Linked DNA regions of Drosophila melanogaster. The protein of the gene in region 4 binds, or shares a complex with, the protein of the main gene of each other region. Each region holds a gene or a part of one and is shown on either strand. Other genes may lie near its edges. The genes, in order: wac, dgt5, dgt3 and dgt4.

What was found.
Region 1: dgt4 (region 4) and wac share a complex: the UniProt entries of both Drosophila melanogaster proteins name them as parts of the augmin complex.
Region 2: dgt4 (region 4) and dgt5 share a complex: the UniProt entries of both Drosophila melanogaster proteins name them as parts of the augmin complex.
Region 3: dgt4 (region 4) and dgt3 share a complex: the UniProt entries of both Drosophila melanogaster proteins name them as parts of the augmin complex.

Annotation. Positions count from the first base shown.
Region 1 is NT_037436.4:256,571-259,597, reverse strand, and holds wac (wee augmin), read right to left. Parts: upstream 1,423-3,027; 5' UTR 1,207-1,422; coding exon 1,203-1,206; intron 1,193-1,202; exon of another isoform or gene 1,148-1,192; coding exon 835-1,147; intron 776-834; coding exon 601-775; 3' UTR 501-600; downstream 1-500. Other genes in the region: Tudor-SN (tudor staphylococcal nuclease), read left to right, coding at 1-95; DIP2 (DISCO interacting protein 2), read left to right, coding at 1,973-2,045, 2,397-2,468, 2,542-2,949, 3,005-3,027. UniProt on the Drosophila melanogaster protein: As part of the augmin complex, plays a role in centrosome-independent generation of spindle microtubules.
Region 2 is NT_033778.4:12,465,723-12,473,566, forward strand, and holds the start of dgt5 (dim gamma-tubulin 5), read right to left. Parts: upstream 6,054-7,844; 5' UTR 6,007-6,053; intron 6,001-6,006; exon of another isoform or gene 5,830-6,000; coding exon of another isoform or gene 4,222-5,829; intron 4,161-4,221; coding exon of another isoform or gene 3,190-4,160; intron 3,128-3,189; coding exon of another isoform or gene 3,031-3,127; exon of another isoform or gene 2,929-3,030; intron 2,471-2,928; 5' UTR 2,351-2,470; coding exon 2,256-2,350; intron 2,189-2,255; coding exon 1,911-2,188; intron 1,848-1,910; coding exon 623-1,847; intron 557-622; coding exon 369-556; intron 303-368; coding exon 31-302; 3' UTR 1-30. Other genes in the region: CG8545 (uncharacterized protein), read left to right, coding at 3,031-3,127, 3,190-4,160, 4,222-5,829; Nepl10 (Neprilysin-like 10), read left to right, coding at 6,193-7,844. UniProt on the Drosophila melanogaster protein: As part of the augmin complex, plays a role in centrosome-independent generation of spindle microtubules. The complex is required for mitotic spindle assembly through its involvement in localizing gamma-tubulin to spindle microtubules.
Region 3 is NT_033778.4:20,991,768-20,996,421, forward strand, and holds dgt3 (dim gamma-tubulin 3), read right to left. Parts: upstream 2,615-4,654; 5' UTR 2,557-2,614; coding exon 2,539-2,556; intron 2,488-2,538; coding exon 2,159-2,487; intron 2,097-2,158; coding exon 1,734-2,096; intron 1,673-1,733; coding exon 1,007-1,672; intron 948-1,006; coding exon 770-947; intron 706-769; coding exon 562-705; 3' UTR 509-561; downstream 1-508. Other genes in the region: Prosalpha3 (proteasome alpha3 subunit), read left to right, coding at 3,224-3,226, 3,336-3,541, 3,679-4,264. UniProt on the Drosophila melanogaster protein: As part of the augmin complex, plays a role in centrosome-independent generation of spindle microtubules. The complex is required for mitotic spindle assembly through its involvement in localizing gamma-tubulin to spindle microtubules.
Region 4 is NC_004354.4:4,112,101-4,115,465, reverse strand, and holds dgt4 (dim gamma-tubulin 4), read right to left. Parts: upstream 1,766-3,365; 5' UTR 1,531-1,765; intron 1,403-1,530; 5' UTR 1,239-1,402; coding exon 672-1,238; 3' UTR 538-671; downstream 1-537. Other genes in the region: Tip60 (Tat interactive protein 60kDa), read left to right, coding at 1-146, 252-464, 537-537; Nsun2 (NOP2-Sun domain family, member 2), read left to right, coding at 1,862-1,921, 1,999-3,365. UniProt on the Drosophila melanogaster protein: As part of the augmin complex, plays a role in centrosome-independent generation of spindle microtubules. The complex is required for mitotic spindle assembly through its involvement in localizing gamma-tubulin to spindle microtubules.

The DNA.
Region 1 (3,027 bases), on a different chromosome or scaffold from region 4:
AGTACAAAGCCGCGCAGGAAGCAGCTCGGGTCGCGCATCTGGCCATCTGGAAGTACGGTGACATAACGCAAGATGATGCGCCCGAGTTCCGCTAAAAGATGCCCGGAAACGTGGAGTAGGCCTGTGGCGTGGAGCGCGTTGCTAGCCGAAAAGATTGTCTGCCACATACCCGCCCTTTATATACATAACAACAAGCAAGAACTTAAAGAATATGAAATTACTAATTCTATCTATACACCAATATATATGATACATATACCACATTGGAAATACACAAATACATACATATGAGCAATGGCATGGAAGAACACGGTACACTTTTTGTATGCTTTAAGCAGCTGGCAAATTATTATTTGGTCTTCTAGTTTTCCTATCATGATACTTTAAATAAATATTTGACACAACCTAGCAACAATTGGAACGTTTTTAAAATGCGTACAATAACCAAAATAAGTGCACCCTCTGATTGTGTAGTGTTCCAAGTTGTAAACCTCAACATTCATCTTTAAAATTTGCAGATTTTATGTTTTTGTAAAGTGTTTTGCATTACTGAGTAAATACAATTAAATAATTTTTTAAAAACGAAAGCAATTCACTTCTTTAGCGCTGCTCCAGCGAATCTACCTTCTCGATGACACTTTCAATGCTAAAATCCTTTGGGATCTTAAGGGTTTTTTGCCGGTCCAGTAAGGCCTGTTTTGTTGCAAGCTGTTGGGCGTTTCGCTGCATTACGACGATATCCGGGATGAGCCGCTCTTCCGCAGCAGCATTAAATCTGCAGAAGAATGGTTTTGGTCAGGGATTCAACTATTAAAGGGATTTGTTCACCAATACCTCTCCAACATAACTACGTCCCTAGTCGCCTCCTCGATGGACGAGAGGATGCGCTGCAGCTCTACGCGTTGCTGCACTGTGGTCTGCCGGTTTTCTATGCATTCCCTCTTCTTGGCACAATAGAAGTCGCGCAAGTAGTTCAGATTGATGTCGTGAATGTGCAAAAGTGAATAATATTGGGCGCATTTGTCAAGGAGCGCCAGGTCATCGTCCGAGAAATCGCCCAACTCGACGCTAGCCAGCTTTAACTGGTCATCGAAGTGCTGGCCTAGACGCATCAATGAATTGACTTCCTCTTGGATCTTCAAGTTCTCTGCATCATAAGAATAATTAGTTGTATGCCTAGCGTTTTTTTTAAATAAACTCACGCATTTTTACTGGAGATGACAAGCTATCGATGGTTCCGAAAAAGATACTACCGCTTTGCTCAAAACGCAGGCGTATAGGCAGCCGGCTTAGAAACAATTTAGACTAAGTTGGCAGGACTTTGCTTTTCTTCGCCACTAATCGTATCCAGGTTTCGCATGTCTTTGTCTTCGTAATCCGAATGTGATAATAGGCGCCTTAGGTGCAGATATCGATAGTCTCTACAGTATTTCAGGGCTACCTAGCAAAATGCCACCAATTGCTTTTGTTGAATCGAATTTTAAGAGACAAGCGATTAAAGTAATAAATAATAGAGCTTTTTAATTGTAATGGTTCTATGCCTAATATCATTAAAAATAACACTTAAATTCGTGGTTCGATTACTTGGGCAGTGTGACCGCATCTCGAAAATTGAAAAAGGCCGTTGTCCCAAGAGTATGAAGAAATAGTTATCAATTTTTCGCTAGTTCATAAAATCGATTTGTACTGCTATTTTTCTTTGTTTACTTTCATTGTGCAAATTCGTAAAAGACATTCGTAATATCGTGTTTTCTAACTAACCCAAAGTACTGGTGCTGCGCAAGTACGGATGTATTTATTTGCGTCGGCAAAATGTGAAATAGAATAAATGGCAAATCGATCGATTTTTGACAACGAAGTGGGAAAGTAGCGGTGTCTGGGTGTGTTTGTGTACTGCGACCAGCCAAAGTTTAGACGAATCCTCCAAGGAAGAGGATAGAACAAAACCCTAAAGCCACACTTTTCATCTGCCATGGAGCACACTGCCTCGCTGCCTGGCTACGTCCGCGAGAAGCTCGCCGAACTGGACTTAGAGCTGTCGGAAGGTATACCTATTTGAATAATACACACAAAAATAAAATATTGTTGTTAAAGTGCGGCGACTGAGTTGTAGAAAATCGCGTGAAAACTGTGGCAGACGTAGTCTGGTCTGATTCAAATCATTGGATACTTGTCGCCCCCAAATGGGATTACAAGTGCTGTTCTCGGCTTTTCTTTCGCTGAAAGCTGCCCACATATAGTCGGGGACCGACCAATTAAAAGAAAAGTGTGTGTGTTGTGTTGTGTGGCTTTCAGCATGAATACATGATTCAGTCGCTACTCCACGCTTTTCAAAAAACGACGAGGCCCAGCGGACATATTAATCGTTAAGAAAACAATTCCATCTGCTTTTCTAGGTGACATTACGCAGAAAGGCTACGAAAAGAAAAGGGCGAAGCTGTTGCAGCCGTTCCTAAAGAAGCCAGAAGGTATGTTCGAAAACATTGATATTTGGTCGTTTGGTCGTCACCAGAAAGTTCTTGATCCTTTTGTTGTGAACAGGCGATAAAGTGAAAAGTACGCCGCCACCGCCATACTACAACGTTAAAAATGCCAACAACAGCACCAACCACGGAAACATCAATAACGACGGCGTCATTGTGTCCAGCGAGGGCTACAGTTATGTGACTGAAGTGCCCTCCCTGTCCTCCTCGCAGCAAAGACATTCCAAAAAAATTGACTTCCATCAGCAAGCCGCCATGAGCTTGTCATCGGCACCACAGAGCGGAAATGCTGGGGCTCCTGGCTACGAAAATATGCGACCGCAGGGTGGAGCAGTCGGCGATCCCGGGTATCAGAACACTCGCGAACCAAGTGCTTTTCAGAACCAACAGTCAACTAATAATAGTCAGCATCGTCAACGACGCACACAGCGCAAAGTAACGCACAATGAGAAACGTTATCATTCTGGTTAGTAGAACAAGTTACAGCAACAACATTTTATCTCTGATCATCTGACCCCTAGAAGTACGACAAGAGGCTGTGCAA
Region 2 (7,844 bases), on a different chromosome or scaffold from region 4:
GCTACAGTATTCACAACACAAATAACGTACTTAATTAGGTGGCGCTCGCATCGAACTTCCATTGGTGGTCATGCGATAGTAGAGATTGAATTCGGACTCGTAGTCCGCGAAACTGCCATTGTTGTATCGTTTACTGGGTGGAACGTAGCGTCGCAATGGATTCTCAAGCAGGAACTGATAGATGCGCTCGGCCTTTTCCAGCTGCAACTGAGTCTTCACCCCAATGGCCATCAGGTTGTCCAGCAATTGGTCAATTTCCTCGTGCTGACGACTCGCCTTCAGTCTCAAATCGTGCGGATCAACTGGGGAGCAGGGTGATACGTTTTCTATCAGACGGATATGAGACAAAATGTCGGAATCGAGCTTACCAATTAACGGCTGCAAATTCAATTTCAACTCAGACGTGTGTGCGGCAATTGCTGACGCCCACAAAATGCGTTTTCGGACTTCCTGCAGAGCGCCGAAGGGTGTTAGCAAATAGCCTGGTGCCAGTTGAACGGTGGAGGCCAACTCCTGGGCCTCGACGATGAGTGGATTGGCCGACAACAGGAAGGAGCTGTCGGAAAAAACATGAACTCTGGATTAATTGGAAATAGCACATTCAGCTAAAGTATGCTCTCACCAGGCGCGCGGCGTACAGCTAAATTTTTCCAGCGGTATTTCCAAAAATGTATTGAATTCCAGCAAATGCGATGGTAGCGTGGCTCCGGATGCAGCCATCAGTGTGGTAGATGCTGCTCCGCCCGGCACTAGCGTTTTGTTGTCAAAACTGCGACGCATCGTTGAGTTTATTGCGCTGCAGTTGCCATCGAACTCCACCTTGGTGCTGGAGAACACACTATCATTGGCCAGGCAAAAACTCTCCGCACCCAACATGGACATATTGCTGACTTTTAGCTTAGTGCTCATCAGCTGGGACTTGGCGTTTTGTTTCTGTGTGGCCGCTTGCATATCGTCCAGCAGGTTCTTCATCATATTTCGCGAAAACAGGATCTTCTCCTTGATCTGTGACAGCTGCACCATATCTTGCTGGATGCGATTGATGCTGGAGTTAATGTCGCCGTATACTTGTTTCACAGAGCCTAGCTTTAGATCGTGATTCTCCAGCTGCTTGGCGCCCGCATCTAGCTCCAGACGCAGTTGCTCAATCTGCTCACGAAGGAATTCGTTTTGGGAGCGATTAAAATTGCGCATGTTGTACTGCACCAGATAGTCGCTAATCAGTTCATCCGCATTTTCCTCGTCGCCCAAACTTATGCCATTAAATCTGTATACCTTTGATTGCAGTTTGTCCACAAAGACGCTGTAGTCTTGGCAAAAGCGTTCCTCCTTCAGTTCCAGCTCCTTTTGGGCCGCGAAATATTTGGCCGCCAGACCCAGCATATCGGCCTTGGTCTTTAGTAACTTGACCTCATAGTTATTCAGCGGTGGCTTATCATTTGTGCATTCGCCTCTGGATTCATTCAGCTTCATGATGTGCTGCAGCTGCTCCTCTTTGATCTTCATTACCACGTTCAGAAGCAGGGAGTTGGGAATATCCGCAAAGGTGCTCCGCATCTGATCCCATAATCGCTGCTTGGCCTCGGCTAAATTGTTCACCGCATTGCCATCGTCACACATTCCATAGAAGGTCTCCAGCTGCTTGAGAGCCTGCTCCACAGCCCTTGTTGCCTGCGCCTCGCTGGCATTTCTAGCACTCAGCTTCACGGGCGTGGTGCCCAAGATTTGGATCTTGTTCTTCAACTCCTGGTCGTAGTTCTTATTCAGCGACTCCAGCTTCAGGTCAAGGATATTGCATTTGGATTCAAGTAGTTGCTTCCGGTTCTCAGCACTGATGGTTTGAATGTCTGTATGGGATTCACCGCATTAAATTGACGTCAAGGTTATCAGTATGTTCACTTTATACCCACTCTTGGTCTTGATGCCGGCAGATAGCTTTTGGTACTCTTTTCGGGCCTCCGTAAGCTGTTGGTTCGCCTTCTCCTTGTGCTTCTTTAGCTCCTGTATTTTTTGGTACCTCTGGAGCTCCGGTGGCTGGAAACTCCTAGAGGCCAGCGGCACCATTTTGTCCTTGTAGCGAGCCACTTGGGCAATCAGCAGGTTCTCGCGCACCTCCCGCACGTAATCCACCGGCTGGATGCGGGATTGCAGCTGGTTCAAAAGTAAACTGGAGCCGGACTTAAAAATTCTGTGAAGCAAAAAGCGGGTTTTAAGTACGGATAGTTGCCGATTTGCCTAACACAGCTGTAACTTACCTTCGGAGTGCATCATCGGTGGGCAGGGCAGTGGGCGGGCAGCCAAGATTAGTGGCCCAGTTCTTAAATTCTGTTATTTTCTCCTGGTATGCCATGATTTGCAACTAATTAAATTTTTCGCAAAAAGGCGCAGTCGTTTGAACCAGCCATTCACCAACACAATCAAATATGGCAGGGTTGTCAACAAACTACTATTCGCATCAAGTTGGCAGCAACTATAACGGTTATTTAAATTAATTTTTCATTTTAAATTACAACTAAAGATCATATCTAATTATTGAATGGATATAATACTTACTTATAAGCAAGAATTCTGTTAATTAGATATATTCCAGATTTTTTTTATTTATGATATTTTTGGATTTACCAATTAGTTTACCAACTCGTTTTTATAGTGCTGAGAAATACGTTTGCTGCTAAACAGCTGGGAGAGCAAGTAGCTAAAATATCTTAATTAAAAAGTTCCACGTGTTTTCCAAATATATATACTAACGTAATCTGTATAAATAAACTGTGTAAGAATCAAGCAAAGTCCGACAAAATAAAATTTAAAGTAATATATAATTTTATTAGTTATTAATATATGTTGAAAAAAAAACATTGTTCATAGCTAGTTAAAAGCTGAAAAGTTGACAGCACTGGCTCAAGCAATTCCCTCTGACCAGTGCTGGAAAACACTCGCTGTCTTTTGAGCGGCGCACGTGGAGCAAAATCGAAGTGCTCACGTTTTTTTTTAAGTTCTGCTCCAAGAAACTGGATAAACTAAGTTAAAAATATGGGTCGGAAGGCTGAATACAGTGAGAAACCGAAAAAGGGACCTGGGCGCAAGGCGCGCAAGCAAGGACCGCCTGTTTTTCGCAAACAATCGTTTGGTGAGAGCTCCTGAATATTACCCTATTCAATGGGTGTTCAATTCAAATGTTTTACTTCACAGCTCCCATGGAAGAGGAGGACAAGAAGCTTTCCCACCGACAGAAGCAGAGGTTCGTTAAGCGAGAGCAAAAGAAAGTAGTCCAGAAGGCCAAACTACAGGAGAAGAGGGCCAAGGGAAAGTTACCACAACCGGCTAAGCGGAAGACGGCCTACAACAGCGACAGCGATCCTGAGGATAATGAAGAGGAACCACAGGTTGCATCCTCCGATGAGGAGGTGCCTCAACTGGTGCCGGCTCCGAAGGGCCAGAAAGCTACAGCTCCCAAGGGTTTTACAGATGATAATGATGCCTGGCTGAAGCCCAAGAAGCAACAGAAGCAGCCAGAAACGGAGTCCGAGGAGGAGGAGGAGGAGGATGAGGAGTCGGAGGAGGACTCCGAAGATGAGTTGGGAGAAGAATGTGAAGAGGAAGAGGAGGGAGACGATGAGGAAGGATTGGAATCTGATGATGATACCGCTCAGGTTGGCAAGCTGGCCGATCTATCCGACGATGATGATGCCAACTCCGACGATGACTTTGACATATCTGGCGAGGAAGATGGTGCTCAGGCAGACAGTGATGAAGAGGAGGATGAGGACGACGACGATGATGATGATGATGATGATGATGACAAGCTGCCCATCGAGCGGGCTAACAAGAAGTTGAAAAAGCGCGAGGCAGAGGAAGCCCAACTGGCCGACGACGAAATGTTGGAAACCGTTGACAAGCAGGATGTTTTCCAGCTACCCGTCGAAGGCGAAGAAACCGAGAAGGACCTAACCCTGCAGGAAGTGCAACAGCGCATAAAGGACGTCAGTCTGGTTCTTTCCGACTTCAAAAGGTATCGTCAAGCGGATAGGTCTCGCGGGGAGTACATCGATTTGCTGCGCAGGGATCTGTGTTTGTATTACAGCTACAACGAATTTTTGATGGAGAAGCTGATGGATATGTTGCCGCTGACAGAGCTAATGGAATATCTGGAGGCCTCAGAGGTTAGTATATTTCATAAAAAATATAGTTACAAGATTAATCATTAAAAATTAACCCCTTTAGATTGCTCGTCCCCTAACCATACGCACCAATACTCTAAAAACACGTCGTAGGGATTTGGCCGGAGCTCTGATCAATCGTGGCGTCAACTTGGATCCCCTTGGTAAATGGACGAAAGTTGGATTGGTTGTCTTTAACTCACAGGTGCCACTGGGTGCAACTCCAGAGTATCTGGCTGGCCACTACATGATCCAGGGCGCCTCTTCGCTGTTGCCTGTAATGGCACTCGCCCCGCAAGAGAACGAACGCATCCTGGACATGTGCTCCGCCCCAGGTGGAAAGGGATCCCACATCGCAAGCATCATGAAGAACACTGGTGTGCTCTTCGCCAACGATTCTAACAGGGATCGCATCAAGGCCATTGTTGCCAATTTCCATCGCCTGGGAATTGTAAATGCAGTGGTCAGCTGCGAGGATGGCACTAAGTTCCGGAATATTATGACTGGCTTTGACCGTGTCCTGCTGGATGCTCCGTGCACTGGAACTGGCGTCGTCTCTAAGGATCCCAGTGTGAAGACCACCAAGTCGGAAGTAGATGTACAAAGGTGCTACAACCTGCAGAGGAAGCTTCTGCTGACTGCCATAGATTGTACGGATGCGAAGTCATCAACTGGCGGCTACATTGTATACTCAACTTGTTCGGTGTTGCCCGAGGAGAACGAATGGGTCATCGACTATGCACTGAAGAAGCGAAATGTCAAACTTGTGCCCACTGGTCTGGACTTCGGCGTGGAGGGCTTTACCAAATTCCGTCAGCATCGGTTCCATCCTAGCTTAAACCTTACCAAGCGCTACTATCCGCACACCCACAACATGGACGGGTTCTACGTGGCCAAGCTCAAGAAATTCTCCAACACCATACCCATAACTAAGGAGCAGCAGGAGGAGGATGAAAAGCAGCTGGATGAGGCCATCGAAGCGGACGCCACTACAGAAGCGGCTGCGGAGTCTGAGGAGGTGGAGGAGGAGGTAGCGTCAAAGGAGAAGGGTCCCCGAAAACTGCTTGGAAAGCGCGCCGGAAAACCCAGTTTCACCGAAATCGAACAGGAACTGAAGAAAAAGAAGCGGGAAGAGAGCAAGACCAAGTATGTGGCCAAGGTGTTTGAGCAGCCTGTCAAAAAGCCAAAGCCAGAAAAGCCAGCAGAGAAGAAAAATGAGAAATCCCAGGCACCGGACAAGCAAACAAATTCAAGCGAGTCACCTTCCAAGTCTGCACCTAAACAAAAACAAACCAATGGGAAAACCACTGTTTCCAATTCAGATGCGAAATCATTCAATAAAAAGAACAAAGGATCGCAACCCAAGGAAAATGGAGCCGGATCACCAGCTAAACCAGATGACAATAAGCCAACAACCAATGGCACAAACTCCCCTAGCAAATCAGCAATTAAGGAAACGAAAACGAAGCCACAGCCGAAAGGAAAACAGTCGCCCAAGGGAAACGCCAAACTGGCCAAGGCGCCGCGAGTGGATATCGACGATGTGCCCATTCTCGAGGGAAAACCCATCAAGAAGCAGAACAAGCTGAAGCAAAAATCCAAACAGATCGGCCAGCTGAAAAAGTCCACGGCGGGTGCGAATGCGGGAAAGAAGCAAAAGTTCAAGAAGTGAACACCTTAGATCCAGTTTTGTTAAGTAGACTATAAGCGTGTGACATATAGTTGGGGTAGTCCCGACGCGATTACCAATTTTATATTGCGAACTGTCTTAGCGAACGATTGAAGATTGAACTACAACAGCGGTGTAATTAAGATTCAATAAACGTTAAGATCGGTTTAATGTACTCACCAAGCGGGTTTATATAGGTGGCAGGCACATTTCATTAGAGGTAATTGCTCTACATTTCAAATGTGAATTCTAGTATTGACCAAGCTGTCACTATCAGCCCCAAAGCTCTATAGGTAGTTCGAAGGTGGCCGAGCTCAGCAGAGCGTTGCGATAATCTGTTGTTTCATTGTGAATCGAGCGAGCTTAATGGGATGTTTACTTTTACTGTGCTCTTGCCTGGTGGCATTATTCATTCCCATCCAGGCAATAGTGGACATCAACGTGGCAACGTCGAACGATATTCACAATAATCTCAATAGAACAACATCACCGTGCACGAATTTCTGGAATTTTGCCTGCGGTCGCTTCTCCAGTGCCTCTAAATATGTGGACAACTTTGAGCGAGTCGAGGATCAGTTCGCCACTGCCATGGTGGAATTCATGGAGAGCCACTTGGGTGAAAACGATACACTGGCACCCCGACTGATAAAGCAAATGCGACAATACTACAAGGCCTGCAAGGAGGATACGCGAAAGCTTCACGGGAATCCTCGTCCCGAAGAACTGGTCAATCAGTGGATTTTGCATCCTAAAAAATTTCTCGTATACGGCTTGAATGGTGTATTCATTGATGAGCGAGTTGATGTGGCCGCCAATGATTCCATGCGTTGGGTTATTCAGTTAAGGATGCCTGACCCGGCTGATAGATATAGTGACCGCCGTGTCTTGCAGCTCATGCGCCTTTACGAAGAAGCGTGGTACTCGATGGGAGTGGTTAAACTGGTGGAGAAAATGCATCAGCTGCAGGATAAGTATCGTGCAGAATATCCTGTTGTATATACATGGAGTTTCAGTGAATTAAGGCAGGAAATCCCTATTCCGCATTCCTTTTTTATTGAGTTATTGGGCGTGAACCACACCGAGGAGCTTTATCACCTGACTTTCGAGGTGAGTGATGTTGAGTATTTGCGGGAATGTTTTCGCTGTCTACGGGATTTCGCCAGTGAGCCGAAGGACACGTACATTCGAGCACGCCAATATGTTTTAGTGGAGGAGTCGGAGCCAAGGGAGCGGAATCCAAGAAGCTGCATTCACCATATGCGTGCCTATTTACCCCTGGGCATGAACTACATCTATGATCGATTTATATACCAAAACCGGGAGGAGGATACCAGTAAGGTACTGGAGATTTTATCCACTTTAAAGGCAGCTTTTGGCCAATATTTAGATGCCAATCGCCTGCAGCTTACGCCAAACCAGTTGGCCTATGTAAGAGCAAAGTTGGAAGGTATTCAGATCAAAATAGGAAATTTGCCTGAGGAGAAATCTCCTGAGTTCTATAATAACCACTATGGAAGTGCGAACTTTTCCGCGACAAACTTCCTGGCCAATCTCCTTGAAGCATTTGCCCTACGTACCCGTCTCCAGAATGCTGGACTGCTTGCAAGGAATTCTCGAGTGGATCTGCGGCACTATTATGTCAACGATAACGTAAGGAAGGCTCGCACTTCTCCCTTCTATGAGAACGAAAGGAACACCATTACTGTTCCCATGGAATTTTTGCAGTGGCCCTTGTTCGATCACCGAGAGCACACCATCTTCCAGCACAGTCTTCTGGGCGCAGTCCTGGGCCACGAGATGAACCACGCCTTTGAACAGGAAGGTATACTCTTCGATGCAGCTGGAAATGAGTCACCTGTGGGCTTGGAGATCCGGGAGTCGAAGCCTTTTCGGGATGCCATCAAGTGTGCGGAGGAGCAACCATTCGTCTCGCTGAAAGAACGCCTGGCAGATCTCAATGGCCTGCAACTGGCGTACGATGCCTTCTTTGGCTTGGCCCACGACTCACGGCAGTTCGA
Region 3 (4,654 bases), on a different chromosome or scaffold from region 4:
AGCACGATAATCGAGTGAACCAGTGGCCACAACTGTTGGTCCTTTTATATCCGCAAGGACCTCTGCTCGGCAAAACTCGTCCTGCAGCCCGAATGCCGGCAGCCAATGAGAGTCCTGCAAATCGGCGGGCAAATGACTTCGTCTGCACGGAAAGTGAATCTCTAGGTTAGGCGAACAAGGTTTTATGGCCTCACTTGTTGCTCCTTGGCCAAATCTGAATGGTAATCGCTTGGAAACGCCGTCGCGTGCCGCCAGCAATTAATGCGTCTCTTTGGTGGCACTCGTGTAGACTGCTTTAAGACGATGCTGCCTTAATACGCCCGGTGTTTAGTGAACCCAAATCTGATAGCCCAGGGAAAAGGCATTTCAAAGGGGGGAAAACAATTACCAAAGTCGTAAGCAAAAGTAAATCATGTTGCTGCCTAAGAATCTTTACATACACACATTATACAGCATCCCTAAATTTAGTGTATTGACTTATTATTAGACTAGCAACGCCGTAATGTTTATTTTTGAATAATTTAACATTTATTTACTGACCAGATTCTAAATCAACTAAGTTCACTTGCGGTGCAGACCACCACCTGGACGAATTACTGCAGCGGCTGCCTTTTTGACCTCATCAATTGCATGCATCATGCGCTGCGGCTCAGTGAGAAACCAAATCCACAGGACTACGCTATAGCGATACAGTTTATCCCGCTCCTAAAAGGATAAACAACATTAAAATGTTATATTCCATGATTTTATAGTTAATTAGTATACTTACAATGCGCCCCACGACATTTTCCAGGAAATCTTTTCGCAAGGAACGCCCTGACTCATCCAGGCGAGTTTGCTGCTGGGTGACATTGTATATGGCGCTCAAGTAGCGAACGTTCTCAAACATGGGCTGCTCCAATGGGGAATCATAGACAAACGGCCGCAAAGTCTGCTCCAAGCGCTTGCTAAAAAAAAATATTAATAGCTTAAACGATCTGTATCAAAGTTAAGTATTGCAACTTACAGTTCTGCCAGTTGATCCTGAACAGCAGCACACGACTTTCGGTTCAGCATGCTCTGAAAGGAGTAAGACAGCAGGCGACCGAACTTTTCGTATTCGAAGAGACAAGCCTTGGCCTCAGTTGCCTTTATGTTCTGTCCCAAGTGGGCTGACAACAAATTGGCAATCTCCTGCACAAACTGGGCACAAATGCCCTGATAACTGGCGTTAATGGAGCGCATGGTCTGGATTCTTTGCCAAGTGGCCTGCGCTTGGTCGCGCAACTCCTCCGAAGTGTCCAGGCAGTTGCGCTTCTTGTCGCAGTCCAGTTGGATCGCAATCCACAGCAATTCCGCATTGGACAGAGCATCTGAGATGATTTTAGTGAGCTTCTTGTCGCTTTCATGACGTCGAACAGCTCTTTCCAACTTCAGTTTAGTGTTCTCGTAGAGAACCAGCTCAATACGTCGCTGGGTGTGCTGCTGAATGTGAATGGTTAGATCGTTTAAAAGCGTATCGTGTGTATTGCTCAGTTGATAGTCGTTGAGCAGCTGCAGATCGTGCATTTCACGCGCCATGTCCGTTAAACTGAGGCAGTGAATCTTGCCAAGATCCAACTGGTCAATAAGACACTGCGTGGCCTTCACCTTGGCCTTTGTTCTTATGTAGGATAGTGCATAAAACTGGATGCTGTAAAAACGGTCATATCAATTAATGTGCATTGTTTTTAGCACAGAACCTTTGTGCTTACCCACGTTCCAAGTCCTCCAGCTTGGCCTTTTCGCGCCCAAGATCTTCCTCCGCGCTCTGGAACTCATCATAGTCCTGGATCTTAAAATTCTCCTTCACATACAGAGTAAAGTATTGCATAAATGAATCGCATTTGTGGAAATACTGCTCCAATGGCAGTTGATGCATGAATAGAGGCGGCAACTGTGGGGCGGTGAATGCCTTTTTGGCTTCGGCGCTTAGCCGGCAGTTCTCCTGCTGCAGTTCCTCCAGTTGCTTGGCTTTGGACTGGCACTCGGCTATCAGATCCTTCTCCCTCAGTTGCAACTCGGCGGTGACGCACTCCACCTCGCCTAGGTGCTTAGTTATCGAGTGCTTTGTGGTCCTGCAAAAGTGGATTGACCATCGATCGAACATATATGAGGAAGGTTACAGTTTTTCCCTTACATCATATCTTCCAGAAGCGTAGCATAATCCCTTGAGGCATCTTCGATCGCCTCAATGCTCATGGTCAAGGCGTCGACATCCTGCTGCTTGTAGTTGAGAAGCCCCGGACTTTCGGCCTCGATTTGCAGGAGCTTGAGCTCGCGATCCGAAGCACTTAGCCACTCGCCCCGCCGCTGCATCTCCTCCCGCTCCAGAACCTGTCGCTCTGTGAGGATATTTGCATCCGTGATGTTCCCGGACAGGAACTTGAAGAACATCTCCATCTGCTCATCGTACAGAATCCACTGGTTCGAGCTGTCCACTCCCAGCTTCTTGAAGAATTCCGAGTTCTGCAATCATGGCGATTATAAGCTGATCATTAATTAAATCATCACACATACGCTCAGCAGATCGCCCATCTTTTAAAAAAATGACAACACAAGCTGATTACTTATCGGTTATATCGAAAGGTTTCAGAGACGTTACTAGAGATGGTACCTTTTGAAAATTAACAGGAAATAGTGCTTAATAATTAAGCTTAATAAAAATCGTAGAAATTCCTGATTTCCTATCAACGATTTCATGAAATATTTACTCTTATCTATTTCTGTTAAATATATATATATATAATATATATAATATATATATATATATATATATATATATATAATATATATAATATATATATATATATATATATATATATAATAAATTTCTGTTTATTATATATATATATTTTATATATGAATTATTTTAAATTTTTGCTATGAAGTAAGGATACAATTTTTCTAAATTTGACACAAGTTCTTAAGTTTAATTCAAGTAAATATTATGTTTTAGTACACCTCAATCTTAAAGGGCTTATAAATTGATCTTTGTTAAAATGATTTTAATACCTTATATCGATATGTGGATAAACGTGCACACCACCCCTGGTAAATAGAAACACCCTAACGCCATCTAGTTTGCAGCCCTGGTACCGCTTTGGACGCACTTCGTGTGGCAGTCTGGCAACCCTACACTGAATGACAAGTAAATTCTGTTCGTTTTGCAAAATAAACTTGTAAATTGGTATATTCCTTAGCAATGGTAAGTACCGCGCCCAGAAGACCGGTATTGGTCTGAGAGCCACCATTGGGCCGATGACCATTGAAGGCTAGCAATCGTGGTAGTAATTGACTTGCGTGTATTTTCCCAGGCTCGCCGCTATGATTCCCGCACCACGATCTTCTCGCCGGAGGGCCGTTTGTACCAGGTGGAGTACGCCATGGAGGCCATCTCGCACGCCGGAACCTGCCTCGGAATCCTCGCCGAGGACGGCATCCTGTTGGCAGCCGAGTGCCGCAGCACAAACAAATTGCTGGACAGCGCCATTCCTTCGGAGAAGATCTATCGCCTGAACGAGTGAGTTGAAATTTCAGTAGTATATCCTACGATGAATTCAAGGGTCACAGGCCATATATTTAACTGGCCATGATCTTAATTACCCACTACATTCTCTACGAATCTATCTCTATCCAAGCCTCTTTGTTTTCCCTCAGCAACATGGTCTGCTCGGTGGCTGGCATCACCTCCGATGCCAATGTGCTGACCTCAGAACTGCGTCTGATTGCCCAGCGTTACCAGTTCAGCTACGGCGAGGTGATTCCCTGCGAGCAGCTGGTGTCGCACCTCTGCGACATCAAACAGGCGTACACTCAGTACGGCGGAAAGCGTCCCTTCGGCGTCTCGCTGCTCTACATGGGATGGGACAACAAGTACGGCTACCAACTGTACCAGTCGGATCCCAGCGGCAACTACGGCGGATGGAAGGCCACCTGTATTGGCAACAACTTCGGTGCCGCGATCTCCATGCTGAAGCAGGAGCTGGCCGATAAGGAGAACGTGAAGCTGACGCTGGCGGACGCCAAGGATTTGGCCATCAAGGTACTGAGCATGACCCTGGACACCACCAAGCTGACCCCGGAGAAGGTCGAGATGGCCACGCTGCAGCGTGTGGACAATAAGACCGTATACAGTGTCCTGGAGAAACCCGATGTGGAGAAGCTGATCGAGAAGTACACAAAGGTACAGGCGGAGGCCGAGGCTGCCAAGAAGGAGAAGCAAGCGAAGCAGCCGACCAAGTAATCCCAAGGATGCATTATTATTGATTAAGGGTCTATCCTGATTTTTGTAACCGATGTACGGAGTGTGTGAAATAAAATTTCAAAAAACAAAAACCCACTATCATTGTGCCAATAGGGATGGCCGATTAATCGATAACAGTGCCATTGCCATTCGCAGCGAAGAGCTGCTAAATATGGCCAGCGACGGGCAGTCACTAAAAAAATACCGTACAAAACATTTTGAGAAAAATTCCGTCGCTTTTTATTTGCTGTTGCTGTTATAAAAAATTCAATTATACTTGCTAAACTAACGGTTAATCGGTTTCTGCAAAGGGGCTTATGCGTAATTGGAGAGTGCGCGCAAAACGCGTGGTGAATACGGATTGGAAAACCATTTTTCATACGCAGCAAA
Region 4 (3,365 bases):
TTCGAGGGCAAGACGGGATCGCCGGAGAAACCATTGTCTGATCTGGGTTTGCTGTCCTATCGATCGTACTGGGCGCAAACCATACTGGAGATCTTTATCAGCCAAAACCCGAGCACGGACGGCGAAAAGCCCACTATAACTATAAAGTATGGCTAGTTCTAAGCTTAAAGTAATACAATTTTCAATCCACAGAGATTGTGCTTCATTGCCGAAACATAGATTAATCATGCTCCCAAAATTTTTCTTCACAGCGACATCTGCGAATGCACATCCATCAAAAAAGAGGACGTGATCTCAACGCTGCAGAACCTGAACCTGATCAACTACTACAAGGGCCAGTACATCGTGTGCATCAACCGGGTTATCATCGAGCAACACCGGCGAGCAATGGACAAGCGCAAGATCCGCATCGACTCGAAATGCCTGCACTGGACACCCAAAGACTGGTCCAAGCGCTCCAAATGGTAATCTCCTCATCTTCTCCGTATAAATAACTGAGTTTAAACAGCTTTGAATCCGTTTTTTTTTGTTTTTAGATTTCCGCTACCAATATTCTTCATCGGATGATCCTGGCTTCGTTGTAGCTTGTAGTTTTCATTTACAGTTTCCGTTTTTAATGTTATAAACTAGTTTATATCATACAATATTATATATACTTTTGAGACGACCGGCTAGTTGTTTGTTTCCCGCGGTGGGAGAAGATCCTCCACAAGGCGGTCCATTGCCTGTATCATGCCCATCTCCATACCATTCTCCAATCCATCGACGGCGGTACGCAAACTTCTTAGAGCTTCTTGGTTCTGGGCGAACTCCCGTTGTTGCCGGCATAGATTTAGGCGCGGTTTGTGGGTGGTGTTCAGATGTTCCAGGCACTGCTTCACATCGTTGGAGTCCAGAATGGCGGGACGCAGATCACTGCCCAGTTTGGATCGCAAACTAGCGATATCCTTGGCCGCCTGGTCGACTTGATTCACATCAGATACACGATGGGCATCCACGGCCGCCTGCAGGGCTCCGCACTTCAGGAGCCTCGCCAGCCGCCCAAAGTCCCGCTGATACTCACACTTGGCGTCCAGCCAAATGCGTACTTGCTCCTCCACCTGGCGCTTTACATTGCGGCTGTCTTCCTGAAAACGGCGCATCGCCTCCAGGTGCAGCAGGTATTGGATGTCGTCCATGGTGCCCTCAGTTGTCAATGATGGCGGTGTGGTCGTGGTGGGAGTGGGTGGAGTTTCCATAGTGGCTTACAAAAACTTCTTAGTTTTTAAAGTGGGAAATTCGGATTCGATTGCCGACGCTATCGCTTTCGCAGCTGCTATCGGTAGCATTTGAAGTCGGCTAACGGAGATTTTTGTAACGATAGGCGCGTAGCTATGTTCGAGTCAAATTTGGCTATTAATAACTATATAAAAAAAAAATGAAAATAATTCGAAAATGTAAATAACAACAAGATATGTAGGTTTCCTTACATAAACTAACAGGTTTTTAAAGTTTCTAGAAAACTGAAATAAGTTGTTTGATTTTGCTTACCGATAGTTGGGAAACCAGCTCTTATTGATTTTGGGGCTAAAAATGTAAGCCATGCAAATGAAGTTAACGTTTAAAAACAAGTCAATTCCTTGCAGCACGGAAACCAAGTACTGTAAAAAGTAATTCCCTTTCAATTCAATTTCACTTCTTTAGCAGCATATTTCACCTTCCCTTCCAAGCACCAAATGTCCGGCGACTCTCGCGCGACAGCGTTGCCAGTTAGGCGACGAACACGTTTTAACTATTCGTTTCGTTTAGAAAACACACAACGCTTGCCTAATTTTTTTTAAACATATTCAGTGGACTGATAACTTGGTATTGATATTGACAAATGGGTCGAAACCAGAAGCAAAATTTTTTCGCGGCTCGCAAACGTCAAAAGCGGGAGAATGTGAGTCACCTCAATTTGAAAGGAGAAACATTCCACGTTTTTGGATTTTATTCTTAAATATATTTTTTATCTTAAAGGGTCCCAAGCGCACCGATCGTCAGGCCCAGCCGTATGAGGAGATCAAAAGGGATAATGCCTTCTTCATCAAGTACTACCAACTGCAGAAGATCTGCGCCACCGATGAGGAGTGGACGCAGTTCCTTGCTTCCATCAGGGACAATCTGCCCACTACTTTCCGTGTGACAGGATTCAAGGACGAGGCCAAAGCCCTGCTATCCATTATTGAGACGCAGCTATTCACCGAGTATGTGAGGGCGGTGGCCGAGCTGCACCAGAAGGCGCCCGAGGATGTGGAACGTCCGCTGTGCCTGCCGTGGTATCCAAACGGACTGGCCTACCAGCTGCACCTTACCCGCAAGGACATTCGACGCTCGGAGCCGCTCTACCGGCTGCACAACTTCCTAATTGTGGAGACCACGGCGGGCGGCATCAGCAGGCAGGAGGCCGTATCCATGATCCCGCCAATTGTCCTGGATGTCCGACCCACGGACAAAGTTTTGGACATGTGTGCTGCGCCAGGTTCGAAGACAGCCCAGCTCATTGAGGCTCTGCACGCTGCTCCCGAGGAGCACAAGATTCCGCCCGGCTTTGTGCTGGCCAACGATGTAGACAACAATCGGTGCTACATGCTGGTTCACCAAGCCAAGCGTCTAAACTCGCCCTGCCTGTTGGTGACCAACCACGACAGCAGTGTCTTTCCCAATCTCGTGACCACGAAGCCGGACGGCTCAAAGGCGATCCTTAAGTTCGATAAGATCTTGTGCGATGTACCTTGCTCCGGCGACGGCACACTGCGCAAGAATCCAGACATTTGGCTGAAGTGGAACCTGGCACAGGCCTACAACCTCCACGGCATTCAATACCGCATCGTACGTCGTGGCGCTGAGATGCTGGAGGTTGGCGGAAGGCTGGTGTACTCCACCTGCTCACTGAATCCCATCGAGAACGAGGCGGTGCTGCAGCGGATCATAAAGGATGCCGACGGTGCATTGGAGCTGGTGGATGCGGGGCACTTGGTGCCAGGTCTTAAGTACAAGCCCGGCATGACCGACTGGAAGCTGGCCACCAAGGAGGTGGACCAGATCTTTACCCGCTTTGAGGAAGTGCCTGAAAGCCTGCACACTATAATACGGCCCGGTATGTTCCCTCTGCCGGCCGACGAGATGGCCAAGATCGGGTTGGAGAAGTGCCTCCGCGTATTGCCGCATCTCCAGGACAGCGGCGGCTTCTTTGTAGCCGTGTTGGAGAAGCGTCGTCAGCTAAGCTTCGAAAAGAACGATGTGGTGGAGCTGGTAAAGCTGAACGAGACGGCCAAGCAGCCTGCAGCTGAGCCGCAAGTGGACGCGGATGGCAAGCCCATCGAGGAGAAGTCCGTTCCGTGGGG